Cricetulus griseus: one gene and its partners. The protein of the gene in region 1 purifies or fractionates together with the protein of each later gene. This does not show direct contact. Links are inferred from orthologs where the notes say so. Each region holds a gene or a part of one and is shown on either strand. Other genes may lie near its edges.

Region 1 (7,652 bases):
TGGCCTCAATGAGGCCAGCCTGCTCTACATGGTAACTTTCAGGCCAACTTGAGCTACAGAGTAAGTAAGACCCTATCTCTGGGACCTGGAGAGATGGCTCAGAGGTTAAGAGCACCGAATGCTCTTCCAGAGGTCCTGAGTTCAGTTCCCAGCAACCACATGGTGGCTCACAACCATCCGTTATGAGATCTGGTGCCCTCTTCTGGTGTGCAGATATACATGGAAACAGAATGTTGTATACATAATAAATAAATAAAATCTTTAAAAAAAAAAAAAAGATCCTATCTCCAAAACAAACAGCCAGGCGTGGTGACACATAACCTGTAACTCCAGCCCTGGGTTGGCAGAGATAAGAGGATAACTGTAAGTTTGAGGCTAGCCTGGTCTACATAATGAGTTAGTTCCAAGCTAACCTGAGCTACAGAGTAAAATTCTGTCTCAAAAAAAGAAACAGCAGAGCTGGGCAGTGGTGGCTCACGCCTTTAGTCCCAGCACTTGGCAGGCAGATCTCTGTGAGTTTGAGGCCAGCCTGGTCTGCAAAGTGAGTTGGAAGGAAGGAAGGAAGAAAGGGAGGGAGGGAGGGAGAGAGGGAGGGAAAAAGAAAGAAAAGATGTGAGAAAGAAAAAAGTGAGATGGCTGAGGGTAAGAATTTTTGCTATCAAGCCCACAACCCAAGTTCGATCCCCAGGACCCACATGGTAGAGGGAGAGAACCAACTCTGATAGGTTGTCTTCTGATCTCTCTGCACACACTAAGACACATAAGTTCTATAACAAAAATCTTTTAAACAATGAAACAAAACAAAAGCTGAGAGATTGCCATTTCCCCAACTTTACAATAAGAAAATGGAGGTCAAGCACTTGCACACTGGTCCTAGGTCCTAAACTGATAAGCGAAAAGGCTCCACAGAGTTCACACCATGGAGACTGGGGCTATAGCTCAGTGGGAATGGAAGACCCTGGGTTCCATCCCCAGCACTGAAATCAAGGGAGAAGGGAGGGAAGGGGGATGTTCTAACAAAAATCCAGAGCCTCTTCTGAGTGTTTACAATGAACAGGCAAGTAAAACCCAGAACATTTGGAGGGACAAAAAGACTCATCCCCATGAAATGCAGACTTGGACTGGGTTAAAGGAGGGACAGTAAAATGTAGATGGACCCAAAGCACAGAAGGCAGTGGTTGAGGTGACAGAAGTCGGGAAGGACCAATGGTAAACTCCGGAGTGATGTGGGGACACAAACACTTGACTGAGAGGGTAGTCTCAGGGTTCCGGGGAGCCCAGGATGGTGTGAGTGAAGGGCTCAGAGGGGCTGTAGGGCAGAAAGCAGAACTAAGGACCTTTCCGTGAAGCGCCCCTTCCCAGGAGGAAACTGTAGCCCCACAATGCCTAGCCTCACAGGAAACCACGTGATGGAAAAAATACAAAACTCCTTCTGGGGAGAGAGTGAGAAGTGAGGTGGTGAGGTTTCTTCAGCTTAGGGACAGAGGGGGGGGCAGCATTTTCCAACCGCAAGGATTGGGGTGGGGAGAGTGGGGCTCAGTCCTGATCCTTCTCAACTCTGCCCAGAGGACACCATAGCTCAGGGCCCTTCAGAGGCTCCTACCCCAACCCAGATGTCCTGGGCTACCCCAGCCTATCTCGGAGACAGCCCAGGGCCCCCAAGCAATGTGAGGGGGCTCAGCTCCTTCCCTCAGGGACAGGATGAGGAAGTCTCCATGCAAATGTGAACTGACCACAGGCAGAGTTCACCACTGAGGGGACAAATGCAAATTTCCCAGAAGAGGCAGGGCAAGGACACAAGGAGTATTGGGCCATGGCTTCCGCACACCCTAGAGTTAGGGATGAAACTGAGCTTCTGGGTCATCCAAAGTGCCTCTTGGAGTCATCCAAACCCCTCAGTGGTCTGTCACCCATGTAGTGTTGCATGCTTCCCCTGTCTGTCCTACCCTGCTTCCCTGACACCCGTCAGCTCCCCCCTCCTCCCCTATCACAGTGAACATACCAGCTACAATTCTGCTATGCCTCCACAGTCCGTGTCCTCTAACACAGCAGATCCTGGCTTGACAGCAACAAGGGGAGACAAGGAGGTAAAAGAGCATCCAAGAGGCCAAACCACCTTAAGTGTTGCAGGTAGGAGGGGGAAGGAGAGAGCATGAGGCATGCCCTTCCTTTCCATCCACCACCAGAGGAGAAAAGCCTTCAAGGAAGTGTAGACCAGCCTCTTCGTGTTGGCTGGAAAGGGATCTCCAGAGGTGAACCACAGGGGCTTTTACCCCAATCATTCAAGTTCTACCTTTGTTTGTTTGTTTGTTTCAGTTTTTTAAGTCAAGGGTTTCGTAGCCCAGGCTAGCCTCAAAAGTGCTATGTAGTTGAGGACGAATTTGAACTTGTGGTCTTCCTGCCTCCTCCTGGGATTGCAGACATATGTCACCACTCAAGGTTTATGCAATACAGAGAATCAAACCCAGGGCTTAATGCAAGCACTTTGCCAACTGATCCACAGACCTTAGGCCTCCAGTTCCAAGTTTTAATAGGTGACTTGAACAAAAATATTGAGCTAAGTCTGTAGGCACAAATCTCAAAAAAGACTACAAACCACTGGGAAGTGGCTCAGTGGCAAAGCACATACCCGATAAGCACAAGGTCCAGAGTTCAGGCCCCAGCAGAGGGTCTGGAGTCGGGGGTGGGGGTCAAGGTTCAGAATCATTTCAACAGTAAATACACAAACCCAGAACAAGTTGGTATGCGTGGCCCCAGAAGTCCATGAGAAAGAACCCCCTAGTGTTATTCCATGCCCTTTACCTCAATAGGAGCTGTGTCAGTCACTATGCTGTACAGCTAAGATGAGTTACTGTGTAATGAAGGACATCTATTTATATGCCTCTCCTTGCAAGTGCTCTGGGGAGACCACCCAAGAACAGCCAGCCAAGTTATGGGGGCCATGTCCTTGCAGCTCTGGTGAGGGATATCCCAAGTGTTTCCTGGAGCCGGGTAAGCCTGGGTCCTTACCCCTCTATACCTGTGACCATATCAATGACCTTGCTTCACCCAAGCTCTGCAACCCCATCCTCACTGTGTTGTTGAGATAAAGCCCTAAGTATCCCAATAACAGGGATCCCTAAGACCTTCCTAACATGGGGACCTAAAAGGCCCAGACTGTGGAGAGCTGAGGGAAGGCAACAGAGTTCCATAGAAGGAAGAGCTTTCTAGCAATAGGGCCAACCTGATGGGAAACACCAGCCACAAGGAGTGGCCTCACTGTCACTCTCTGGACTAGGTTGCTAGACAGCAGGAACCCTACAGAAAGGCAAGGGGAGCCCTTCTCTTGCTTCCTCAGGGGACAGGGGATGGGTTAGTTAAGGGACTCATCAGGTAGAGAGGAAAGCGGCTAGGGCTCTGAGATAGAACAGGGGTGGCAGAGTAGGCATGAGGAACGGACTGAGCAGGTCACTTGGGCTGGGTGCTCCTCTCCTTTACACTGATCTCAAGGGAGCGGGCCAGCCTGCAATGCGCGCGGCTCACCTCTCGCTGGTGGGGTCCGAGCAGTTCAGTGGGTACTTGAGGTGGATGATCGTGCCATCTCGGTCCTGAAGGATGCCCTGCTGCTGAGTGTAATACTCCACCAGCTCCGTCAATGTTGCAAACTTCTCCCCTCCGTACAGGTCATAGAAGTCCCCCGAGTTCTGAATCCGAATATGGGTCACCTGGTCATCTACCCTGCAAGGCACCAGGGAGTGAGGCCCCAGGTACAGGAGCAGAAGTGGAGTGGGGGACAGGCCAAGGGGCCCGAATGCAAAAGCACACAGGACTGGGGTAGACGCAGACGGTTATGGGGACACACTAGGGCTGCAGGCAGGGACACCGCTGCAAGACAACATGAGAAGGCAATGCAACCCAGGGAACAGAAGAATGCTCAGGACCCAAGCCATGAGCTGCCAAATCGCCGGGAGGGCCACTCACCTGACTGAGAGGGAGAAGTCACCCTGGTTCTTGCGACTGGGCCGAGCCAGGAAGCTCCCAGGGACTCCCCGGCCCTTGAGCAGGGTCTCGGCATCAGGCCCACTGAGGTCCCGATGAAACCACCTGAAGGTGTACAGGGTGGTGAGGTAACGTGCCCCGGGCGCCAGGCCACCCTTCCTTTCTACCTCCCATGGGCCCCAGGCCCTTACCTCACCATCCTGGGGCTCTTGCTGAATTGGCTGCGGAGAAGGTGGAGGGAACAGCCTGTCTGGGCAGGTGGGAAAACTCTAGGGTTGAGCCTCAAGCAAGGCTCTCGGAGCCTAAGCCTCCTACAACCCCAACCTGCTGTCCTGCTACCAGGCTACCACTCTACTGGCCTGGGGCAGCCAGCAGGGCGGAGACAGGAAGGGGCGCGGCCGACCCCTTGGGGGAACTCACTTGTACTTCTCTTTTCAGAGCAAGGGAAGAGAAGCAGAAGGGTGGCAGGGTGGGGGAGGGCCCACTTCCCACAGTCTGCCATCAAAGGCCCAGGAGTATGGCACTCTACATAGCAAGAGGTAAGGACCGCGCTTATGCCCCGCAGCCCCTCCAGGCCAAGATCCACACATGTGACTCCTCATGGCCATTAGGTCACCTCTTCCTCCTCCACCAGCTGCTTCTACTCAGCATTCCTTGGCACAATCTAATAATGATGGTGTGCAGTGACACTGTCATTTAATGGAGTGTTGCCACATGCCAGACTCATTGCTACAATGTTATTTGCAGGCCTCCCATGAGTTACTCCTCACCACAGCCTCATTACACAGGCACTATCTTTATACCCACTTTACAGACAAGGAAATGGAGGCTAAGGGAGTTTGAGGAATTGCCCGCAGGCCTTACACTTAGTAAATTACCCGATTCAGACCTAAATAGTTCAGTTTCAAAGCCAATGATTTGTAAATACTGCCTGCCAGCCCTCAGGACCTAAATTTAGAACGGTAGTCAATAGATGTCTTGTCCAAAGGAGATATTATCACAGCAGAGAGCCCCCACAAAAAGACCTCAGGCAGCATTGCCAATTATGGGCCTCTTCTATTTTCAGAGACTGTTTACAGGCCTCTTTTCTCTACCCTGAGTCTGAGCGAGCAGGTGTGTGTGTGTGTGTGTGTGTGTGTGTGTGTGTCCTGGAAGCTAGGGTTGGTGACCAAGCTCCTAACAACAGCAGATACAGCAGATGCTCACAGGGATAGTAACTTTTAAGAGCTCTGAGCCCAGCCGGGCATTGGTAGCGCACGCCTTTAATCCCAGCACTCAGGAGACAGAGGCAAAGGATCTCTGTGAGTTCAAGACCAGCCTGGTCTACAAGAGCTAGTTCCAGGACAACAGCCTCCAAAGCCACAGAGAAACCCTGTCTCAAAAAACAAACAAACAAAAAAAGAGCTCTGGGCCCAAAGTCTTATGACGGCCTGTGTATGTAATCCTCAGTATAAATTAAAACAAAAAAAAAAAAATCAAACACTACCAAGCCAAGAGCAGAGGAAAAACAACCTGCCCAACAGAAGAGTCAAGAAACTCCTATTGGTGTCTTCCTTTGGGAGAGCCATAGGCTGCTGGGGAACAGAGCTGGGACAGGGCCCCCTATATCCTTTAGGGGGGTATTTGTTTGTGATACTTTGGTTGGTTAGTTTTGGTATTTTTTGCCATATTGGAATTAGAACCTCAGGCCCTAGCCATGCATGGTGGTGCACGCCTTTAATTCCAGCACTTGGGAGGCAGAGGCAGGTAGATGTCTGAGTTTGAGGCCAGCCTGGTCTACAGGGGTGATTTCCAAGACATTTGGTGCTATAGAATGAGACCCTCCCTGTTTTAAAAAAGAAGAAGAAGGAGAAGACGACGGAGAAGCCTGTCCCTTCACTATGCCAGCAGCAGCCCTGAGGCAAATCCTCCACACTATTTCTTTTTCTTACTCATTTAATTCACTTTACATTTCCGAAGTCCCAGTGATCGAACCTAGGACCTCAAACATGCTAGACAAATGCTTGCTTAGAAGGTAGGAAGCCCTGGGTTTCATAGTCTTGCTAAGTGCAATGACTCACACCTGTAATTCCAGCACTTGGAAGACAGAGGCAAGAGGATAAGTACAAGTTTGAAGCCAGCCTGGGCTTCATCAAGAGATCCAGGCCAGCCAGGGCTACATAGCAAGACCCTGTTTAGAAAGAAAAAAAATAAAGCTAACCCTCTATGACAAGTCTTTTATCATTCTTGGCGACATCAAGTATCCCTTGACCTTGGTTTCCCTCCCTTTCTCTTCTTGCTAACAGCTTTGGGAATTTACATGCTGGGACACATACTATGAAAGATCTGGAATCGTCATGGACTAAGCTCACCCCAAGGGTCAGGAAGACCACATGAAAAGTTGGTTCCAGCACAGGGGGATCCACCAGCAACCTGGCTTTGTCCCCATTCCAACCTTCAGAGTCCAACCCAAAGAAGTATCCAGTGAGAAAACACATGAATACACATGGTTACATGTATGTTTCTGGTCTGCTCCCACATGCAGATGAGCAAGCATTTACACAGATATCTGCAAGCATATGTATAGAAACACAACTCACATGCACCCATCATGTGTCCATTTATATACATACCTCGCTGGGGGCAGGTCCCCAACATGACAGGGACACAGGAAGTTCCAGAGTTAAGCCTACTTGGTTCAAAGAAGCTTACTAGGCCCCTAATGCTTCTGGCCCTTTAAGTGTATCTAAAAAGTGTCAAGCTGGAAAAGGAGACACTCCCGGTAAGATGGATCACCCCTGCTATTCTCTGGCAGGAAAATAATCGCAGTCCCCCAGAAGCAAGGCACAGGGCCCTGGAGTTGGAGGAACATTAGGCAGCATACCACAGTCATCCTATTTGAACCCTTGGCCACCTAGGACATAGGGATTTTGCCTTTGCTTTAAGTAGGCTCAAGGAGGCTGACAGTCCTAAATGCAAGTGCCTGGTATCTAGAAGAGACAGAAATTCCCTTGAGAAGCAGGGGATAAATGAAGACATCAAGATCAATGGTGATGCGAGGAAGACAGACAGGCCCTGCGTACCAAAGACAAGATACAACAATCTTACATAGTTATTGGACTTCTCTGAGCTTTGATATCACCACCTAATAAATGAGCTCAATAAAAAGGGAACAAAGCAACCAGGTGTGATCGCTCATACCTATAACCCCACTATTCAGGAGGCTGAAGCCTGGGACAAAAGGCCAAGTGTGATGGCACATGCCAGCACTTGGGAGGTCATCCTTGCTTGTGTAACTAACTGCTAAGTGGTCTGGTTTCATGTCATCAGCTGTAACATTTTACGATGGATTTTGCCTTCTGCTTTTGCCTCTGTGGAGTTGGCCAAGTGCAGACAAAAAAGTATGCTTCTCCTGGACAGGTACAGACCTTTCTCCCTTGTCATAATTTCCTCAATAGTACAGTAAAATAGTTTGCATAGCATTTACATTGTATTAGGTAAATACTCAGAGAGGAATTAAAATATGCATTAGTACATGTGTAGGTTCCATGCAAATACATCTGTACAGTTTGGTATCTTCTGGTTGCCCTGTAATTAATCCCCCATGGACACCAGCAGATGACTACTTTATTTTATTCTACTCTATTTTATTCTTTTTTTTTTTTTACTTATTGTGAAATGGATCAAACTTGGGT
Region 2 (7,161 bases), on another chromosome or scaffold:
ACATGTCTCCAGGTTTCCTGACTTGGGGAGAAGGAAGTAACGAGATATTGTGGGAGAGGCTCATCTTGTAGCATTTCCAGACAGGCTGAGAGCAGGAAATCCTTGCAATCTTCTGAGAGAGCCACATCTCCCAAGACTGCCAGATCAAAAGGAGCCAGACATTCCCCAAGGTCTGTCTCCCTCAGCTCTGCAGAGTGAGGAGGAAGGCACAGAACTCCATCTTAGACTTTGCTTACCCTGGGCAAAAAGAATGCCCCCAGGGCACCATAGGACATTAGGACAGTCTTCCATAGACTGTCCTTACTGAAGGACAGGTCACATCTTATGGACGGTCATATCTGCAAGAGTGCTGTCCTGATGAAGAGCCTTTCTATCTGGTAATAGTTAATTCTAGAAAAAAAATTTCAAAGTCATTTTCACGGGTCTCAAATCCTCTGAGATGTAAGGTTAGATACAGATGAATAAATAAAATAGGGAGTCTGCAACCCAGACTTGGAGAGATGGTCCAGCTGTTAGGAGCACTGGCTGCTCCTGCTGAGCATGTACATTCAATTCCCATCACCCAAGGTGGCTCAGAGCCTTCTGTAACTCCAGTTCCAGTGGGGGTCTAATGCCCTCTTCTGACCTCCACAGATAGCAGGCGTGCACACAGTACACATGCAAAACTTGCATTCACAAAAATGAAAACAAATAAATCTTTATATATAATGAAACCTTGACATTCCTGAGAAGTGCATAATATTACAGGTGTCTCATAAGTGAAGATGGGTTTATTGCAAGAAAAGGTGGTGTGCAGTTTTTAAAATACAAAAGAGATCATAATTCATGCTCTAGAAATCGAATACATGTTGCCTTGTAGTCTTTATTATAAAGATGTTAAGTTGCATGCCTTGCTTACAGTGCTAAAGTAACCCTTTCACATGAGACAAAAGCTAAGCTAATCCTTTAATGTAAAATGAAAGGTCTTCTGTAAATCAGTCCTAAATCATTAGCCCTCAAAGGTGAAGTATGCAAAGGAAGCTCACACAGCTACCATCCCCTCAAAATAAAATACTCGCTCTAACTATGAAGCGACCTTTCATGTCTCTAGGCTGCATCTTCCTGGAGTCGATGGCAAACTTGAAGCCCTCTCAGAGCACACAAGCAAAGACAGGACATGCAGTCCTCCACGGCTTCTTTGGAGATGGTGTTGTGCTTTGCACATGGGTATGTGGATTTTTTTTTAATAAAGTGTGAGTCTGGAAAGGAAAAATCTTATGGGGGAGGGGGAAAAACACAACCTCCAGAGTCCTTGGCTATTTCGCTATGCATTCCTGCAAAAACCTCCTCCCTGCTACAGATAACCTATCTCACCACAGAAACCTCTCTATAATCCACTTCCAATCTCCCTCCATTTCTAAGATCTCAGGGTCTCAAACAAGAGAAGGCATTTTATGAGTCCCTATAGCCCATGACAGGTCACAGAGAATCTCAGAGCACCACACAGAAGGGACTAGGACTGACCTATCTAAAGAAGACAAATGCAGCTCAGACCAAAGCCCAGACAGTCAGTGAGTCCTTTCTTAAAAGAAGTCTGGGAGGGAGATTTTTATATTCTTTTTGGCAAACAGCCTTTCCATCAAGACTCCTGTTGGACTTAACTTTTCTTGTGCCTGTTGCTTTTTAGACCTAGTAAGTGGATGTGGGAAGTACATTCTTGTCCACTGCTTACCTTGAACATGGACATAAATGACGGAGGACATGTCGACATCCCAATAGAAGCACTTGTAGGCTCCGGTATCATTTGCCACCACTTTTGGAATTGTGAGTGTCTTGCAGAAGACGCTGTCACTGCACTCAGTCACCGACACCCTTTCCTCAGAACCATGATGATTGTTGGGCCAAAGCCAACCCAGGTCCCTCTGTCCCCTGAAAAAAGTATTCCAGGAAGGTATTAATGTGACACCCCATGGCATGAGGCTCTGAATAAGAGAACGGAAGGTATGGTTCTCATGAGCATATAAAATGCTCAACAGACACTTCAAAGTTGATAGACACTGATGACAGTCTGCATGGACATGCCACCAAAGATCACACACTCTATTTCAGAAATCACCCATGGGGTCATGTGTTTTCTGTTAGTTCACAATTCATTCTTTCAGTATGAACTGAAAGAATGTTTTTTTAAGTATATATAATTGCTGACCATTATTAAGGACAAAAACTAATGCTTTAAGGGACCAAAGATATGATGCTCAGTGCTAGAGCACTTTCCCAGTGTACACCAAGAAGAAATAAATCAGTGCCTTTATGGAAGCTCACTCTAACTAGGGGAGAGACAACTAGGACATACAAGTCATTGTATAAAAGGTGTTAATTTAGTGCTATGAAGAGAAACATAAAAGAAGCAACAAACAGGCCCTATGCACATGATGAGGAACAGCATTTCAAGTAGGAACGGTAAATGTGAAGGACAGAGACCAGTGCACATCTGGAGTGTTGGGGAAACAGCAGGGAAGCCAGAATCATCATGTAGGTGTGAGGGAGGAAGAAGAGAGGGCACCGAGAGAAGAGGGCCCTGGTACCTCCTTGAAAGGGTAAAGTTAAATAGACAATACTTTTATTGCTTCATTTCTCCACAAAGCAAATGGAAGGTAGTCAATATGAATAAAACAATGTGGCCCACTGAGCCTTCATTCAAAGAGCTTGAAACTCCCATGACATCACAGTATTGACTGTGCCTGTTCTCTCCAGGGTTTGCTCAGAACACAAGAAATGTTTCTGAAGTCTCCTTTAAAGGGAGGGGGACCTTTGCAGATCTCAAGTGACCTTTGTGTCTGAGACTAGGTAGAAGGGAAAGTCTCTGGAAACGCCATGACTTACGAAGATAAACAGCTCCTGCTATGGCTTTCTGTTTTTGTTCCCCCCCCCCCTCCAAAGGCTGGGTATTGAAGACTTTGCAGACCTTAGATAAGAGGCCTAGTGTCTCTCCACATGCAACAATCTAAAACAGACCTGAGTTATGCTGTGGACCACTTGGTATTCTTCAAATAGGATGCAAAGGCCACAAGCTGCCAGGACTCTTTGTGGCACCAGCACTCAAAACCACACTGATTTACAGAGACCTCTGAGTCATTCATGAATGAGTGCCATATCCACCTATACCTCCTCTAGGTTTCCTTTCTTGACTCTTGGTTGAAAAGCAAAATTCAAAGGCCTCCTCTTGTCTAAGAGTTCTGTTTCCCTGCTTATCCAGCATCAGTAGCGTGGCTACTTGCGGGCAAGAGGGAAAGAGGGCCTGAATATCAAGCCAGAGTATGCAGTTCATGTTTTGAGCAGGACATATGGTCAGGAATATTGTTGGCTAGAGATTAAGTTGCTACTACAGACAGAATTTCATTTGTAGAACACAGTTCTTATAAAGGGCTAAAAAGATGTTCACAAGTCATTCGAACTGACATGAACATGGCTCAGACTTCCACTCTATTTCACAAGGATAAGCCCTTAACTTTACTGATTCATCAATAGTCATGAATGTCTATCACATGTCAGTTTTTGGCACGCATGTACATGTGTGCATGGTTGTGCAAATGCATATGTGAGTATGCATTTGTACGTGTTGAAAAGGCCCGTCAAAACAGTACAAAAGTTTGAAGAGACCTTTCTCATTGTTTCGTTATTGCATGAGTTCTTAGAAGCCTCATGACTTATAAACAATTACAACAATACTATTATAATTCTGCAGTAATGGAAATGTTGTGACCTCAGTAAACAATGAGTCCTTGCACACAGGAAATCTGAATCTAAAACGAACCCTTACCTGCAAGTAATCTGAAGGGTTGTATTGGCCAAAATTGTAAGTACATCTTTTTGTGTGCTGAGCTTGGGTGGATGGAGGGAATCATCTGGCAAACCTAGAAAGAAATTAGACAAGAGTCGGACCCCATAGGAAACACCTTCCATCAGCAATGCATACTCCAAGTTTTAAAAGACCTCTTCAGCAATTCATCGTACAAAAGTGGAATCTGCTTTGCCCCATTCCCAGTAAAAGTTCACAAGCTCTGTCATAACAGGAAGAATGGGCAGATGGTCACAAACCAACACAACAGTTCTGCAATTCACAGTGCTAGGGTGGAGTTCCTGTTTTCCTGCACTGCCAACTTCAAGGTCTTACAAAAGGATATGGGACATCGAAACCCGGTGAGCCACCATCTGATGATCTCAGGCCCTTGGGAAAGCATAGGATGTACACATCTGACTAAATTGCTGATTAATGAAAACTCCCTAGAGAGATCTCTATACAGCTCATCTCCATACCTCCCCCCAAAAAAGGGGCAGGAGCTACTGTGACCTTTGTCCCATTGTCTTTTATCAGGCAGTATAGCAGATTTCCTTTGGTAATCAAGCTGCGGTAGTGGCTCATAAAGACAGGGCGTTTAGATGAAGGAAAATGAATTGAGGAAGAGTAAAAATCTCTCAAGTTCATGCATACATGCATATTAATATACTTTTCCTCTGAGCAAAACTTAAAATAGTGTAACTCTAATGAGCTACAATGGGGGGTTCTCAACTGATTAATTAATCAAAGCTCTGAGCTCATCTAGACACAAAGCTCCAGACACAAGATACATGTTACCTAAAAAAACTAAAACACAGAAAGATATCATGAGATATACACGTCTCTAACAGGTCACACCACAGCAAGATAACTAGGTGTCAGTCATCTAAATGTAAAGTGTTACCAGGCATGTTAAAAGCATGAGAAAAAGAGGAGTTGCCCACCATGCTAAGGGACATCAAAATCTTCCAGCTCTCAGCTTGGAAAGTAACTGATCTGCCTAGCCTGGTGGTGCACACCAGGAAGCCCAGCACTCAAATGGACCAAACAAGAGGACTGTAAGTTTGAGTCTAGCCTGGGCCATATAGTGAGTGAGACTGTCTCAAAAGAAAAAGATAACTAATTAATACCAGGCAGCCACCCAGGCTTTCTAATTCACACCAACTCAGAACAGATGACTCGTAGGGTCTCAGCTGGCATTGACCTTGTTGGGCAAATAAGTGAACGTGAACAAATACGGGGCCGTGTGAAAGAAGAGAGTATGAGCAAACAGCCAGGGCAAATAGCCAGTGCTGTGACACCGTGGCCCCTATGTGAACAACTGGAAGCAGGTGGTTAACTGACAGCACAGGGTCTCACACACCTGCACAGATGTGCAGAACAATCTACAGCTACACCACCCCAAATACACCCAATCTAATCAGATGCACATATGTTGCTGATCTAACTATAGATATATTGATTGATGACATGTTTTCAATCATTGGAAATGAAATGACATTAATAACCCCCAGAAGCTAGTTGACATCATCAATGACTTGTATTTGGGCAGTGGTTCTGAACTTTATGTGGTGTTTGGATATTCCTAGATCTGCAAATATACACTTTAAGTGGCATTTAAAGTGACTGTGTCACGGGTGCTCTGTGGGGTAGTCATGGGTAGTCATGTTTAATCAATCAGTGTAATCACTTTTCAATATGAAAGAAGGCAAGCACATAAACACGTCTTCCAATGATGGAATGCTACTTGGTTTGAGAAGTGAAAAATACAATTTGTTTGATAAGTAGATTTTAAACATGACTCAGAAATATTAACCCCAAAACAATAACTGGATACGACTCATATGAGGAGCCAAATGAAAAAGAAGCCATCAGTTGGGCAAATGTGTAAGGGAAAATGTGGTAGTAAATAACCACCATTCAATAAGCTGTGTCCACTCTACCTCTGCAGCAAATGACTTTTATTCTTCAGTGCTGGGAAGCGAACCCAGACTCTCAGTGCTCTATCTCTGATCTACATGCCACAGCCACTGAAAGCCTCTTGACTGTCTCTGTAATAAAGTACAGCCAGAGATTATCTTAGACTGCTGGCACATTAGCTATATTCATCTTTAAGAGACATCCCATTCACAAGAAGCCATATACAACACCACGCTATTCTAGGGATCGCTCCACAATCAAATCTAGCCAATAAGGTTATCAATAATAACTGGAGAGTTACATCAATGACTAACACTCCCTCCACCCATTAAACCCCATTCATTTTCATTGGCAAGTTTGGGTCCTCTCCTTTAGAAAGCTAGTTCTGACTGTAAGAGGTACATATGCTACTACACAATAAAAGCCCTTTTATGTTCGAATCCCATAACCAACACTAATTAATTTGTGCACTGTTATCCTTCCTGCTCGAAGACAAGAAGGAAAAACAACAGCAGCTCTGTCTCTAGACTTCGATGGCACCAATTATAGTCCAATCCAATTAAGCAAGTCACACACTCCGAAAGGGCAACCTCCATTTTATTCAGGGAACCAGGCTACTGTTAAACTGCTGCTCTAGGAACACCCCAGGCTTCAAAGCAACTCACTTCTTTGTGGGACACAGGGCAAGCACATATTCCAGACTATCTTTCTCTTCCCAGAAGGGGGGAGAGTGGGCGTTTGTCAGGGACAAATGAGCACCCATGATGGAGCTGGCCTGATGAACCGAGTCATTATGAAGAAAACTCAATAACTGTAGACAGATGATCTTGGTACTGTATTTCAGTGCCAGTGTTTTTAAGGCACGCAGTTGTCTTCTGATGCAAGGAATATTTTTTACGGAATTGAATTTTTTCTGACTCTCCCTCCATTCTCCAACGGGTAGAGATTGGGAAACGAGCAAACTGGCTACAAAAAGGAAATGGAAGAGAACTGGGGGGGGGGGGGGAGAAGGAAGGGAAGGGAAGGGAAGGGAAGGGAAGGGAAGGGAAGGAAGGGAAGGGAAGGGAAGGGAAGGGAAGGGAAGGGAAGGGAAGGGAAGGGAAGGGAAGGGAAGGGAAGGGAAGGGAAGGACTAACCTTGAAGCAGAGGGCAATTTTAAGTGTCATGAAAAGTGGCTCTATAAAGTGCCAAACCCAAGAGATTTCTGAAACTCTGTTTCTGACTGAGTTTACCCCAGGACCAAACGTTTTGGGGTATTAGGTGGATAGTTACTTTAAGACACTCGGAGTAACTGTCACAGAAGGGGGGACTGCCTCTTCTTCCTGCGAGGAAAGTAGCATTCTGCACCAAAGAAAGTTGGAGGAGCAAAGTGTCGCCCTATGAAGAGATCTCACCTCACATAGACGGTGTGCGCAAGTGCTGGA
Region 3 (7,630 bases), on another chromosome or scaffold:
TCCTTAGTCTGTCACTATCAGTAGGTTAGGGTTCCACCAAGACCAGTGGTTGTAGTGGTGATGAAGATAGAGTTTAGCTCAGTTTCCTGATGTCTGCGGGATTTGCATGACCGAAATGACACAGATGAACCCCTTTCACATAGCATATTCACAGTTGGGCCCCCTGCCTTAGTGAGACAATCCGTTCTCTGTAGTAAGCAGAGTGGGGGGCAGGTCAGGGCAAGGCAAGGCTGTGGTGTTTGTCCTCTTGATGTCAAATCTCAGACTGTGGACTTGAAATGCACAACTCTGACCTCGAAGTTCTTAAACCCTCAGTGTTGTTGACATGGGACTGTGGGGAAAACCGAGTTCCAGACTTGTGGGTGTTCAGCTTTGAAAGGTAACATGAACGCCAATATTGCAAAGACTTTCATACACACCCAGGAAGGGCAAGGATTGACCCTTCCTCATTCTGTTTCCCATCTGTAAAATGTAAGATCACTTAGAAGTCAATCAAGGGATAGCAGTGCTCCCGGACATCCCCAGGATCTGTCACATTGTATCCTCCAGGGGAGCTTTGACATAGACACTACAAGCTGGCCTAAGACTGAAGGGACTGCAGGATGTCATGAAGAGATAGTTCACCATCACCAAGATGGGGAAAAGGAGAGAAATCCAGACCACTCCTGATGAAGACCTCTGGGCCATTCAAGCCCAGATCCATCTCAGTGCCACTTTCTTGTTTCTTGGAGACAGCATGAGGGTCCCTGATGCTGTTTCCAGTGCACATTAGAAGCTAGGCTTGGGCATCTAACCTGACATCCAGGTCATGTTCACCTGTGTACTGGGGTTTTGGAAATGGAGACATTGTCTATGGTCCAGGGAATTCCTGCCAGTGTCCTTATAGTCACTCACTCTGACCACACCCACAGCTTTTGTGCCACAGATGCAGTGGCCCTAACTGTCCCCACCCATCCCTGACACCAGCTGCTCTGTGCCCTCCCACTCACTCTCACATGCCCCAAGGTCCCCAGGGAGTCACCAGTCCACTGCTAGTATCTGGGGGAGGCCCTGAGCCTGGAGGAAGGCTGGGCTGTTGGAAACTTTAGTCTAGCAGGGACCGTTAACAGCTGCTGCAGAGAACCCTTAAAACACAAACGAACCTCAAAAAGGAAATACTTGTAAAACGTGTTGGCTTGACCTGTGATGAATTTTCTGAAAGGGTTCGTCATTCCCTGCTGTGGCAAAAAAAAAAAAAAAAAAAAAAAAAGGCATCTCTCTGACAAAGACACTCACCTCCCACAACACCCCTAACAGGCCACAAAGTATAGGAGCTGTGCACATGCAAGCGCACACAGATGCTTCCTGCACCTGCCTCTTTTCAGACACTTTCCTCGGGTGACAGTGTGCTTGCTCTTCTGCCCCATGGGTCACTTTCTCTGGGGCAGGCAGGCTCTCCTGTGCTACTTTGAGAAAGCTCTCCCACCATCGCCTAGCCCTGCTATATACCACCAGTCACAAGAGTTGGTTGCATGTAGTGAGGAACTTTACCTCTCTTTCTTCCTCCCCACAGCTGCAGGACAGCTGGTGTGTGTGTGTGTGTGTGGGTGGGTGGTGGTGGTGGTGGGCGGATGTGGTTCAAAGGGGGTGGGTTTTTCTCACCTCCGTGCCTCATCCGGCTCCAGCTCATTCCAACCCCCAGCCATGAAGGCCTTTTGTGATTCCTTTAAGAGGCAACAATGTGGTAAAAGAATATTATATAGTCCCTCTGGGTACTGCGGCTCTAAGCCTCACCTTCCTGCCACTGTCAACTGGGCCCTCTTCACCTCTTCACCCACAACAACTTAGTAGGTTTGGTAGTCTCCTCTGCAAATGCCTCTTCTCTCCGTGTGACTGATTCTTTGTGTGTCTCTCTCTGTGTGTCTCTGTATCTCTCTGTCTCCCTGTCTCTGTCTCTGTCTCTCTGTCTCTGTCTCTCTCTCTCTGAGACAGGGTCTCATTACATAACCCTGGCCAGCCTGGAACTCATGGTGTAGACCAGGCTGGCCTCTGACTCACAGGAATATACCTGTGCCTGCCTCTGCCTCCTGATTTCTGAGTTTAAAGGTGTGTGCCACTACACTTGGCCAAGTGTCCTTTTTCTCTGGGGATGAGTATGGTGGACAATGTTTGGACTATATGCATGTCTACATGTTCTGGGAAGTAAGCCCAGATCATTATACTCCTAGTGTACCATTGAGCTACACCTCCAGCCCCTAGGACCGCTAAAAGAAAAAATTAACTATAACAATGGGACATTTCTTTGCCTCGCCGCTTCCTAGGAAGCCACAGCCACCACTTTCTTCTTTTTTAAGTTTTATTTTATATTATTTTTATATGTATGAGTGTTTTGCCTGAATGTATGTTTGTACCAGGCTGATGACTGAGGTGGTCAAAGAGAGTGTCAGATCTCCTAGAACTGGAATTACAGATGGTTGTGAACAGCCATGTGGGTGCTTCGAATCGAACCAGTACTCTTAACCACTGAGCTTTCTCTCCAGCCCACCACTTCCCTTCTTGAATCCCACACTCAGTTTCCTTTCCTCCCTCCCTAGGAGGTATGTAAGAACTATTGTTACTCCAGGCTAGCCCTTCAGCACAGCCCAGAGCTGCTCCTGAGCCCCTGCTGAGTGGACATTGATCCCTGATACTGCTCTGGTGTGGGAACACAGGGGATGCCAGAGGAGAGGATGTGTGAGAGAAGGAGACAGACCTGGTCACAGGTGTGTTCAGGTAGACAGCAGGAAAAAGCTGTACAATGGGGAGTCTGGGGTGCTCACAGAGGAAAACCAGCTTCTTCCTGCCTCCCTTGCATCCTCACATTCCCAAGAATGGTTTCTGGGTGACAGTTCAGCAAGCAGGAGGGGAGTCAGAAGCGCTCCATGCTAAATGGGGGACATGAACCTTATCTAAGCTACCAAATTAAGGAACCCTCCTGGTAAGCCATGGCCCTACTGGGCACCCTAGAATGAGGAGAAGCTAAGGCTCCATAATAGGAACCCCAAATCTAATGGTTGAGGATGAAGCTGCAACCTGGAGCAGTGATTGGTGCGTGCCCTGGGTCAGTTAAGAGAAGAGTCCCAAGTGTACACTGATCTCAGTGAATGGCAGCCCAGAGGGAGTGGACAACCGGAGAACACACCAGACTGGTGCGTGGATCTTAAGTACTGTGGAGGACAGAGTGGGTCTAGGATAGGTGGGGAAGGGCACTGGCTGGACACAGGTCCAGGCTAGCGTCAGTGTCTGTACTTTGGACCTTGGTAGCCCTCCTTGGTCTTCTGGCTTCAACCCAGGGACCTCTTCTGCTTCATTGAGTCCATCTGCCAGCCGCCTTCCTCTTTTGTGACTTGGGGTCACAGCACAAAGCACGGAGCATCACAGTCAGAGAGAACTCAATGTCTAAGAGAGGAGAGTGGCCCGTGGATTAGCTGGAAGACCTTGAGGCAGAGGTGCCCAAGGCCATGGCTGATGCCATCACCTATGCAGACCTGCGCTTTGTGAAAGTGCCCTTGAAGAACAGCATCTCTAACCACTTAGGACAGGGTAAGTCCTGCTTGCTGCCCCCCTTCATATTCCACCCTCATTCCACAGTCCCCATTGCAGACTCCTCCTACTTCGGACCTTCCTCTTCCAGACTGTGAGGCCTATGAGGATGGAGAACTCACCTATGAGAATGTGCAAGTGTCTCCGGTCCCAGGAGGACCATCAGGCTTGTCTTCCCCTGCACGAGTGGACAAAGCAGGTATGGAGGCCCCGGGAAGGGTGTGTTTATCTACGAAGGCTGTGTTTATCTGGCGAGTGTAGAGCAGTCTTGGAGAAAGCAGCAGGGCTGTACTTGAGAACAAGCTAAGAGTCAGGGGCAAGTTGAACGTCCTCGCGGTAAGCTGGGGGGAGGATCAGGGCAGCCGGGTGCGAGATGGGTGGGGAACAAGAGTGGGAAGAGATGTTGAAGGATGAGAAGTCACAGACAAGGGACCCCAAGGAAATGATACAGAGGTGATAAAGGGAGACCCAGGAGAGAGAGGAGGGATATGAGGTGTGGACAGGGCGACCCAAGAAGGGCTTCCGGAGAGAGGACTTCACTGCGTGGCATTTCTGGGGGCAAGCAGGAGGTGAGCAGGGACCACTCCCCCAAGCCCCGAAGGCCAAGGGACATGAGTCCTGGGGCAGCAGAGGAAGTCCCGAGAGTGACTGTCCCATAGCACTTAGTCCACGACAAAGGTCTCAGCATGGTGTGGGGCCGGGGGAAGGGAATTACGGGGACTTTCCACCCTCATTGGGACGTTCCCCTTCGGCAGGCGTCAGGTCAGAGCAGCCAACTGCGTCATGGAGCTCCGTGAAGTCGCCGGCTGGAGGGCGGATTCCCCGTTGTGTGTATCTCCCCCTCCCACCCCCGCAGCTCCAGCCTGCGTTCACCCGCAGCCCACCTGCGGGCAGCGGGCAGGGATGCCAGATGCCGCATGCGTGTGTGTCCTGGAGGGGTGGGGCTGGGTTCTGCCCTCCGCTGCTCTTTCTGGGACTTGAACGACAGCCCAGCCACTCCACCTCATCACCGGAGCGATTGTTCGATTGTTCGCACCTGCAGTCAATCCAGACCACAATTCCCCTGTTCCGATGGTCCCTAGTCACATGCCTCCAGGTCCCTTTCCCTGTATGAAGTTTAGTTCCTTCCGCCGGGTAATGCCCCCTTCAATCCGTTTCACCAGTTACAATCCCCAGCCCCTATTTCCTGACTGACAGAGCCCGCTTAGGAGCGATTTCCATTCTCTATGTGTCCCCACGTGGACACCCTTCCCCGGGACTGACTGTCCCTCATCTCTGTCCCCTAAGGTCCCACAGTCGGCTTGCAATACTTCTTGCTGGGCCTTCTCCTGGCCTGTCTGATGTTAGGGGTGGCTGCCATCTGCCTGGGAGTTCGCTGTGAGTATGGGTATCCCCATGCCCCTCTCCTTCTAAACATCTCCCCTTCTCTCTCCGCCCAACTCGCCTTTCATCAGGAAGGCTCAAAGACACTGTCCTGACACCCTTGGCTTTTGGGTCTGTCCTAGAATGCCCTGCCTTCCTAGGTTATCCTTACCCACTTCAGGAGTTCCTCAAACTGGGCAGACAGATCTTAAATTCAGCACATTATACAGGAAGTTACATAAGCAGAAAGGTTGATAATGCAATCTTAGAGCACCAGCAGGAGGAAGCGCTCTCAAGTCCCCCATCTGTGTCTTGCCCCCGCCCCCCCCCCCAGTTCTCCATTTGTATCCCAGGCTGGCCTGGGCACCTATCTCAGCCTTCCCTAGACAGGGATACAGGTGTGTGTTGCTACACCCAACCAGTGTCTTCCATGGCCAAACAGATCTGCAGGTGTCTCAGCAATTCCGGCAGGTAACCAGGATTTTGGAAGCCACCAACAGCACCTTGTGGCAGCAGCTCAGGCAGAAGACAGCTCAGCTGGGGCAGAAGGAGGTGGATCTGCAGGAGTCCCAGACAAAGCTGACCCTGAGTCAGAGCACTTTACAGGAGAAGCAGAAAATCCATGAAGCCACTGAGCAGCAACTACAAGCCTGTCAGTCTGAGGGACAGAGGACCAAGGAGAATTTGGAAAGGGAGGAGCAGAGGAGGAGGGACTTGAACCAGAGGCTGATCAAAGTTCAGGACACACTGAGGAGCCGCCTCTCTTGTTCTTCAGGTATCTTCTGGGAGGTTTCAGGGAGGTGGGGCAGACCGCCTGTGAGGGATGGACTGAATCCAGGAGTGTCTAGTGACTGGGTCTGCCTAGTTCTCAGCAGCCAGTGAGTTATTCAGGAAAGGGGCAGTGAGCCAGAGCAGTGGCTGACCTGGGTGGGCTATGCAACTTGGTTACTGAGAAGAACACTGGGTTTAGGGGGATGCACCCAGCTATATGGCAGATCATGGGGGCAGAGGCACAAAGAAATCTCCAGCAACCTACATCACATTGTCCAAATCTCTTTCTGACCCAGGGGGCATCTAGATGCTTCCACCAAGCTTAAGACAGCAAGATTGAATTTAATTTTATACTTATCTAGCTCTATATGCAACTTAAACTGTTAAGTCTCATATTTCTAAATTGCTATATATCTTTAAATGATGGTAAACATTTAAAGTCATAAAGGTCTAATTTAACTATACTTAAAATATAAGCTAGGTCCATACAACTTAAATTTAACTCATGTATCTTTAAATAATGATGAAAGTTTAAAATCACAAAGGTCTATTTCAAACTAACAAAATATTTATACCACTCAGTCCATCCTGTAAGCCGTTTACAAAGGTACAGCTTTTATTACAAAAAGGGATTTTTCTCTAACTAAAGGCAAACTTTTAACTGCTGAGATACTAAACAGACAGTCCTCAAATGCTCAGAGATCTAGAGAATATGGCATTTAAAATGTTTTGTTAAAAAGCTTTTTATAACAGAGAGACAGGCCAGCATAATGCCTGAACCTTTCACACGCCCCTAGCTCTCATCTTATGCCTCTGGTGTCTCTGTGTGCATGTGTGCATTCGTGAGTGTGTGCTCTTTCTCCGCTCCCCCGCCCCCCCCCCCACTCCCGTGTGTGTCGTTGGAGAATAGTTTTTGAGATAGGCTTTCTCCACTCAATGTAGAGCATGGCCAAGCTCAGCTCTACTTTTTCTATGGGTGCCAGGTATCTGAACTAAAGTCCTCATGCTTTTGTGGCAAACACATTTAACTACTGAGCCATCTCCTAGCCACTCTCCTTCACCTTATTTTCCATGACTCTCAGTCCCTTGCCAGTGCTGCCACCCATTCCCATATCTACACTTTAGACCTTCATGTCCCGTGGTGCCCATCTGTTCACAGCTTGGGTGTAGACATCTATTTCGATTGTAGCTACCCAGCCCTACAGGGTTCTCTACTCTCCTCCCACCTTCCCAAGGCATCCAGCCTGGGGAGTCCCAGTTTTCTTTCTTTCCCACAGCTATCTCTTATCCTCACTTCTCTCTCAATCCATCTTGGGTTCCAGAGCCTATTACCCAATCACCCACTCTTTTGTTTCCTGGTCCTGGTGCACTAGACTGATTGAAAACTCAATCCTGGATGAGCCCAGCTGACAATTTAGTATAGGCCTGCATCAGGTGTGATAAATTGTACCATTGATCAGCCTGGTGCCACTGAGGTTCTGCTCTGCAGTAGTCTGTCTGCTTTTCGCAGTGACTCCCTCTCCATCGTGCCTTTTCCATCATGTTCAGCAGGTACTGCCATTATCAACTCATCAGAACGATTCCACCTAGCCTACCTGTATTCCTCCTTTTTTTTTCATCTGTTCATTTTCATGTGTGTGTGTGTGTGTGTGTGTGTGTGTGTGTGTGTGTGTGTGTGTGTGTTTGTATGTGCGTATGTATGCATGTGTGTGTGTGTGCACAGTTTCTTTGACGCAAAGTTTCATCCTTGATTGCTCTTCTACTTTATTCACTGAGGCAGGATCTCTTGGTCAAACTCAGAGCTCATCAATATGGCAGCTTTCTGTGGGGATTCTTTGCTTTCCACGGCAGGTATGATAGGATGGCTACCACTCACTGGTGTCTTAGTTACTTTCTATTGCTGAGACAAAACACCAAGACCAAGGTAACGCAAACG
Region 4 (7,687 bases), on another chromosome or scaffold:
CAACGGACACCCAGTATGCAATCTCTCTCTCTCTCTCTCTCTCTCTCTCTCTCTCTCTCTCTCTCTCTCTCTCTCCCTCTGCAATGGGCTGGCCCTCCATCATCACCATCCTACACTTTACACAGAGTTAAATTTAACTCTATTCATGAGGCTGTGACCTGTGTCAGCCCCCAGGGATCTTACAGGATGTGCCAACCTAGTGTGTCTCCGGGGTCGGTGCAGAGCTGCGTCCCTTCCACCCTCCCTACCAACATGCCCTGTACCTGGCACAGCATCAGCACCTCTCGGGCCATCTCCCTCCCAGGCTGCAGGACACAGGTGGGGATGGCTGTTGGATGGATCAGGAGCAAGCATAGAGAAAGCTGGTCCACTGGCTGAAAGCAGGCTGGCTTCTGTCCCCAGTGTGGGGGTTGGCCTGGCCTGGGTGTGTGAGAGGCGAGGTGGCAGAGGCTGGGGCAGAGCTACTCGCAGCTTTCCAGGTGCAGGGAATGTGTCTCACAGTGACACCCTCCAAAGCCACTCGGGGAAAGCCGAGTTCAACAGAAGGCTTTACTTCTCACAGTGGCTCTCAAGCTCTGCGTGCGACACATGTCACTAGACATGGTATGGACAGGCAGTTCCCTTTACTTCCTAAGCCATAGTCTGTTTTAATTTTTTTCATCACAAGCTTGCAAGCTCTGTTCTGAGGGACACACTTAGTGACACCCTCCGGGTCACTACAAGGGTTGTGGCCACATCAGCCCCTAGGTGCTGGACCACTGTGCCCCTCTGGCTTCATCCTCAGCAAGGCTTGGCTGGAAGGGAGCAATTCCAGAGCAAAGCTGCGTGCCCACGGGATCCCAGCAGTCACCGTAGCATAAGAAGCAGGGCCCTGAGCCTGGGATGGATGGGTGAGTTGGTAGGAGTAGAGTAGGGTAGCAACAGTTACTAAATTCAGAAACTTAGAATAGGGCCTCACTGTCCAGACCTAAGATCCATTCAGTTCAGACCTGCTGAGAGCCTTGGGGTTGGCTTCCCAGCCCCACCAGTCCCTCCTGGGCATCCAACAGCTTCTTCCATCTCAGCGAACCCAGAAAACCTGGCAAAGGGGATGCTGACAGACAGGGGTCTGTCTGTGCCTATGGTAAGTTAGATAGAAGAAAACAGCAGGTCCTACGGCCAGCACACAGAAACCGCACCATATTTCCTTGTTGAGAACAAGAGAAAAGTTCAAAATGGTGTTTACCTGTCTCCTTGTGCGTGCATACGTGTGTGTGTGTGCTCTTCAGGGTCCCTAGCAGCCTCTGAGAGTAAAAGTAAGTGAAGTCTCACAAGCTTGGCCACACCCCCTTCCTCTCTGTGGCTCTGAGACCAGCAGATCCGAGTGGGGGAAAGAGGCCATGGTGGAGAACAGTCACACAGTCACGCAGTCACGTCTTAGCTTGTGGGATCCGTGTCTGACGAGTCGCCAAGGTTTGCCCAAGGCCCCTCTGTGAAACCCTTGCTCACGATTGCTCCCAGCTGGCTGGGAAGGATCAGGTCTTCTTGAAGGTGGCTTTAGTTTGGCGACATCATCTTGTTACTAGCAGTACCATCAAAGGCAGGAACAGGGGACCAGGCCCTGGGCGAGCTCTGGGGAAAGAAGGGTTGCTGTATGGGAGTCTTTTCTGCTTGATATTTATTTATTTGGGGGTTTTTGAGACAGGGTTTATCTGTGTAACAGCCCTGGCTGTCCTGGCACTCGCTCTGGAGACCAGGCTGGCCTCCAACTCAGAGATCCACCTGCCTCTGCCTCCTGAGTGCTGGCTCTTGATTTTTACTTATCTGTGACCATGTGCTGGCACATGTGTGCTCGTGTGTGTGTGTTGTGTGTATACATGTGTGTTTTCGTCAGTGCTTATATAGAAGTCAAAGGACAACTTGTGGTCAGCTCTCTCCTTCCACCTTTATGTGGGTTCCAGGGGTGAAACCTCGGTGGCTAAGCTAGCCCACAACCACCTTTACCCGCTATAAATGGGAAAGTCTTGAGACTGAATCCCAGTCACTTGTACCGATTCTTCTCCAGCAGCCACCACGCTCTCGGTACAAATCCTACAGGTGACGGGGAGCATTGGAGGGAGAGCTGATCTCCGTTTTCTAAGCGCAGGGAATGTGTTACAGAAAAATGTCTTCAAGGTCATGGCTGGTTGGGAAAAGATGAATGCCACAGGTGTGGTGGGGACCAGGGGTGCTCTTCCTACAAGCGTTATGGTCAGAAAACAAACTGCAAAGAGTCAATAAAGTCTTCGCAAACACACGTGCCAGTGAAGATGGGTTCCATAGCGTAGGGGCCTAGGATCTGGTATGATCTCTGACAGAGACAGCATAGAGGTCAGCAGGTTATAAAGGACGTGTGACAGCTCTCCTAAGGATGGGTGAATCGATTAACTAGGAGCTAGGGAGGGAGAGTTTGGGATACACATTCTGGGGGATTTGGGTAAGGTGTGCCTCACCGGGTTATTATAACATCCACTACTAGTTTTCTGAGTGGAAAACAGAGGACAGCCCTGAGTGATTAACATTCCTGGTTTCTCCAGGGTTAACTGTGAAGACCTGAAGACCTCATGCCCTCTGCTCAGCAGGAGGCTTTACGGGGGAGGGAGGCATGATGAACGTATGGCATGATGAACTCTACATGTCATACGTGTCACAGGCGTGGGAATGGCCTGAGGGTAGCTAGCCACACAGACAGAATCTGAAAGGGTTAAGAAGAACTGCAGAAGACAGTGAAAGGTGGGGGGGGGGGGGGGCAACAGCAGGACTGTCTTGGAAACTACTCAGGAAGTTGAAACAGGAAGATCAAAAGTTCAAGGTCAGCCTGGGTTACAGAGTAACTTCAAGATCAGCCCCACCAATTTAATGAAACAAACAAACAAAAAAAGGACCCTAAGAGTGTGATAGAAGATTAGAATCTTCTACCTGTCTAGAATCCCCCAGTGAGGGGCTGGGGGTGTAGCTCAGTGGTAGAGCCCCTGCCTAGAATCCCCCAGTGAGGGGCTGGAGTGTGGTTCAGTGGTAGAGCCCCTGCCTAGAATCCCCCAGTGAGGGCCTGGGGTGTGGCTCAGTGGTAGAACACTTCTCTAGCATGTATGAGGACCTACTTTTAACCCCCAGTACTTTTGACCCCCTCAAAAGAAGTAATATAGCAGGGGCATAACAAGGTGGGAAAACTCCACAAATCAACGGCAAATACCTGGATTTGATTCCTGACCAGAGCTGTGTTTGAAGGGGGGGAAATGGCTAGCTGGGCATGGTGGTACACACCTTATAGCTCACAGGCAGGAAGCCTTCAGGAGGGGTGGGGGCCTCATATGCCCCTCCCAATGCATGCTAGACTCTTAACTATAGTTTTTGAGACAGGGTCTCACTCTGTTGACCAGGCTGGCCTCTGCCTTCCGAGTGCTGGGACAAACAACGTTTTTGATGAATGTTTGGCTGAATCCATAGATTCCATCGTGGAGGATGTGGAAGACTGACTAGCCCTTTCCCTATTTGTCCTGTTAATTACAACTACAAACCCCCAGACCTTGTAAAAAATAAATAAATAAATAAATAAATAAATAAATAAATAAATAAATAAATAGCACAGGAAGGCTAAGGGGAGCAGAGAGAAGGCTTATGCCAGTTAGAAACTCTGAGCCCTGGCCAGGCAGTGGTGGCGCACACCTTTAATCCCAGCACTCAGAGGCAAAGGCAGGAGGATCTCGGAGTTCGAGGCCAGCCTGGTCTCCAGAGTGAGTTCTAGGACAATCAGGGCTACACAGAGAAACCCTGTCTCAAAAAACAAAACAAAAAAAAATGAAGAAAAAAAAAACCAAAGGGGGGAAAAGGAAGAAAGAGAGAGAGAGAGAGAGAGAGAGAGAGAGAGAGAGAGAGAGAGAGAGAACGCCTGGGCTCCGAGGAATGACAGTTAATTCCCTCACTCTTTGCTTCTTTTTTGACAGAGTCTCAAACTTGCTATGTAGTCAAGGATCACCTTGAATTTCTGATCCTTATGCCTGCACCTCCCAGTGCTGAGAATAGAGACAGAGCCCTCACCCCTGCTTTCATGAGGGACTGTGGCATGAGGCCAGGGTTGCCTGCACATTAGGCAAGCACTGTACCAACTGAGTCACACCCGTACCCACCCCCCACCTTACCGATACCACACGACATGCTGGTGAGGCTAACACATGGACAAAACAGTTCCAACAAAACCCTTCTTTTTCAGCTGAAACACAAAGAAACGGACACCCTCAGAGTCAGAGCTCTGCGTCGGCCGACTTCCGTGTGGCAGCCAAATAGTACAGAGAAGTCCAAGATCACCCTGTTCATTTGTGTCTGCGCTGGAGAAGGTCCTGGGCCGGTCTAGACTGTCACCCCTGCCAGGCTGTAACAAAGATTTGAGAATACTCTCCACACTCTCCAAGTGGCTCCAGACAAGACAGAGTGTGGAGCTGGGACCTTTATTGCCAGTGGGATGACCTCAGCACAATAGGGACCATCGTCCTCCCAAGCACAGTGAGCCACTCCCCCTCTCCCCCGCCAGGCCTGTTGGAAGGATGTCAGAGGCCTAGAGGAAGTCAGGGCTGGTACCCGCTCTCGGGACTATCACGGGTCTCCACGTATCAGTAACACTGGCAGCCACGCAGGAAGAGCTGAGGGGACTCTAGCCCAGTCGAGCACGTGTCTCTGGCAGGCCTTGCCCTTCTCCCCAGTTCCCTCTGCCTTGCTAAAAGTTAGATTACATTCCGAAAGCTGGTCACCAAGGTCTGTTCCCTTATTTGGCCACTTCCTCCTCCTGAGGCTGACCACCAAGGACCAGCTATCAAAGTATTGAAATCCAGTAAGGAAAAGCCCCCTTTGGCCTACCTAATAAATATGCCCAATTAAAATTAAATACCTCATCCTAACATGGGGTTTCCCCTTTTACCTTTATAAACTGCCATTTGCCCTGGTAACGTGTCTGTCTCCTCCATCCAGAGACAGTCCTTTATCCCTCTGGGACACATCCCTGCCCCCTTTCCCTGGTTCCTTTCTCCTCCTCCTATCTCCTTTACCACTGCCTCCTAGCCCATTCTAACACAGCCCTCCCCTTCTTCTCTTAAAAATCACACCTGCGGGGCTGGAGAGATGGCTCAGAAGTTAAGATCACTGACTGCTCTTCCAGAGGTCCGGAGTTCAATTCCCAGCAACCACCTGGTGGCTCACAGCCATCCGTGATGAGATCTGGCGCCCTCTTCTGGCCTGCAGGCAGAATGCTGTATACATAATAAAAAATAAATAAGTAAAATCTTTTTTTAAAAAAAAAAAATCACACCTGCAAGGTCACTCGCTGCTGTTCTCTGTCTGAGTCAGAAAGCAGCCACTTTAACTTCTTATCCCCAATTAATAACGGATCTCTGTGAAAACAGGTGCTGGAGTGTGGTTTGTCCCTAACCTGGCATCTGTGAGGGAGCCTCTGCTGTGCTCGGTGGGGGGGGGGGGGGGGGGTAGGGGGGTCCCCTTCACCAGTCCTGAGACACATCTTTCTCACTAAGACTGGATGATTTTAGCAGGTACCTAATGGCGTCCTGAGCTTTCCCCATGCCCTGCAATAAGGAGGCATCCTCGCCCTCAGGCACGAGGGAAGGCTGGATGGAGACTCTTTACTTGCAGCCCCTGCGGGAGCGAGAGATGCTAGATGACTAGTAAAGCCACGTGGCAATACATAATTTAATAGTAAATGTAAGAGTTAATAATAAATAAATAAATAAATAATAAAATTAATAAATTAATTTAAATGTAGGAGTTAGCTAGTAACAAGCCTGAGCTATTGGCCAAGCATTTATAAATAACACTAAGTCTCTGTGTGATGATTTGGAAGCGGCTGCCTACATGTTGCTTCTTTGTAGCAGCAGGGGGGTGATCTCAGATGCTTACAAGGCTTACAAGGCTGAAAGCTACTCACCACACCAAGACAAGGAAATCTCAGACTTTACGGATGCCAGCATCAGGATAACACTGATGTTAGAATTATCTGATGTTAGAGTATTTAGTCGAAGAAAAAGGTCACTCCAAGATTAATTTTTTAAGAGTATTTATTATGCATACAGTGCTCTGCCTGAAATACATTGCCTGCCAGAAGAGGGCAGCATGTCTCATTACAGACAGTTGTGAGCCACCATGTGGTTGGTGGGAATTGAACTCAGGACCTCCGGAAGAGCAGCCCATGCTCTTAACCTCTGAGCCATCTCTCCAGTCCTCCAAGACGACTGTGTGGCAGCAGGAAGGTCCAACCTATGATGGACTGAACCTCAAACAGCCGTACAAAGTTGTTTTTTATTGATTGTTACACAAAGTTGCTTTTTGGGTAAAGTATTTCTGCATGCCTAGGTCTAATCTAACCTATCTGTCTCTCTAAAGGAGAGCATGTCATGTCCTCATGACTCTAGTCCTTTACTCTTTATCCATTTGTAATTCACAATAATCCAAGAGCCTCAGAGGTGTCTTGCGACCACAGTCCTGTGAAGGCTGCAAGACCCCTTCAAAAAAATAATTCTGTAAATCACGGGAAACAATCACTGTTCCACAATGATGCTTCCAGGCCAAAGTACTTCTAAAAAGCAACCCTTCACTCTAATGCTTACCCTGGACACAGTGGCTCTGCTAGATTCCTACAGCAATCTGATAGAAATTTCAAATTATAAAAATGGCTCAAGGGGCATCCTGCAATCTCCAGGCTGAGGTGGGAAGGTGACTGACTTTTTTTCGTCACTTTCATGGCAGTGTTAAAGCCCCACGACCCGCAACTCAGGAAGAGTTTGGTTTGGCTTAAGGGACCAGAGGGAGAGGTTGTAATGATGGAGGAGACCCAGCAGCAGGCAGCTGAATCAGGAAACTGTGACATGGCATCTTCAGCCAGAGAGAACAACCCGGAAGTGGGAGGGGACTCTGAATTCTCAAAGCCCACCCCAAGTGAGGTGCATGCTTCCTCCAGCAAAGCTGCACCTCTTCCAGGTTCCATAACCCTTCCTACACAGTGCCACCAACTGGAGACCAGGTGGCCAGATACCTGAGCCTAAGAGTATTTGAAGAAATAATGGTAGCAAATGTTCTTGATTTAACAACATCCCCACATTACTCAGGAAACCCCCTGAAATGAGAAAAGTCTCCAGCATCATGCCAAGACACATCACAGGCGAATTTCTAAAAGTATCTCTAAATTTGAGAGAGTTCTGGGAAAAAATAACAATCTTAAAAGCAATCGAGAAAGGACACGAATGGGGAAATCACACACACACACACACACACACACACACACACACACACACACACACACAGAGTATTGAGGTTTTTGCAAAAACCATGGCCGCTGTGGGGAGGTGACAGAGGCCAGTCAGTGGCTAAGAGCGCTTATGGCTCTTGCAGAAGAGCCAGGTTCAATCCCCAGCGCCCACAGGGTGGGTCACCACCATCCGTAACTCCAGCTCCAGGGGATCTGACGCCTTCTTCTGGCCTCCATGGGCACCAGGCACATACTGTACCTGCATGAGGTAAAACACACATACAAATATGATAAAAAAAATAACCTTATATAAGGATTAAAGCAAAGGGGGACTGCAGAGATGGCTCAGCAGTTAAAAGCACTGACTGCTCTTCCAGGGGGTCCGGATTCGATTCCCAGCATCCTCTCAGCTGCTCACAATCG

Evidence for each region.
Region 2: the proteins of Ptpn6 (region 1) and Kdr purify together in Homo sapiens (affinity purification with western blotting; 3 studies listed by BioGRID and IntAct, with this or other methods). This does not show direct contact. The link is inferred for Cricetulus griseus from reciprocal best matches to the Homo sapiens genes PTPN6 and KDR.
Region 3: the proteins of Ptpn6 (region 1) and Cd72 purify together in Homo sapiens (affinity purification with western blotting; 3 studies listed by BioGRID). This does not show direct contact. The link is inferred for Cricetulus griseus from reciprocal best matches to the Homo sapiens genes PTPN6 and CD72.
Region 4: the proteins of Ptpn6 (region 1) and Cd22 purify together in Homo sapiens (affinity purification with western blotting; 5 studies listed by BioGRID and IntAct, with this or other methods). This does not show direct contact. The link is inferred for Cricetulus griseus from reciprocal best matches to the Homo sapiens genes PTPN6 and CD22.

The regions. Positions count from the first base shown.
Region 1 is NC_048601.1:21,670,985-21,678,636, reverse strand, and holds the start of Ptpn6 (tyrosine-protein phosphatase non-receptor type 6), read right to left. Parts: upstream 4,328-7,652; 5' UTR 4,178-4,327; coding exon 4,170-4,177; intron 4,084-4,169; coding exon 3,961-4,083; intron 3,718-3,960; coding exon 3,523-3,717; intron 1-3,522. UniProt on the Homo sapiens protein: Tyrosine phosphatase enzyme that plays important roles in controlling immune signaling pathways and fundamental physiological processes such as hematopoiesis.
Region 2 is NW_023276807.1:142,445,121-142,452,281, forward strand, and holds part of Kdr (vascular endothelial growth factor receptor 2), read right to left. Parts: intron 3,894-7,161; coding exon 3,800-3,893; intron 1,909-3,799; coding exon 1,712-1,908; intron 1-1,711. UniProt on the Homo sapiens protein: Tyrosine-protein kinase that acts as a cell-surface receptor for VEGFA, VEGFC and VEGFD. Plays an essential role in the regulation of angiogenesis, vascular development, vascular permeability, and embryonic hematopoiesis.
Region 3 is NC_048595.1:100,056,425-100,064,054, forward strand, and holds the start of Cd72 (B-cell differentiation antigen CD72), read left to right. Parts: upstream 1-3,290; 5' UTR 3,291-3,479; coding exon 3,480-3,561; intron 3,562-3,652; coding exon 3,653-3,760; intron 3,761-4,316; coding exon 4,317-4,388; intron 4,389-4,848; coding exon 4,849-4,938; intron 4,939-5,365; coding exon 5,366-5,698; intron 5,699-7,630. UniProt on the Homo sapiens protein: Co-receptor of B cell receptor (BCR) that plays both positive and negative roles on B-cell functions. Recognizes the Sm/ribonucleoprotein (RNP) self-antigen ligand, and coligation of CD72 and BCR inhibits BCR signaling.
Region 4 is NC_048602.1:4,898,118-4,905,804, reverse strand, and holds the start of Cd22 (B-cell receptor CD22), read right to left. Parts: upstream 4,174-7,687; coding exon 4,158-4,173; intron 329-4,157; coding exon 264-328; intron 1-263. UniProt on the Homo sapiens protein: Most highly expressed siglec (sialic acid-binding immunoglobulin-like lectin) on B-cells that plays a role in various aspects of B-cell biology including differentiation, antigen presentation, and trafficking to bone marrow.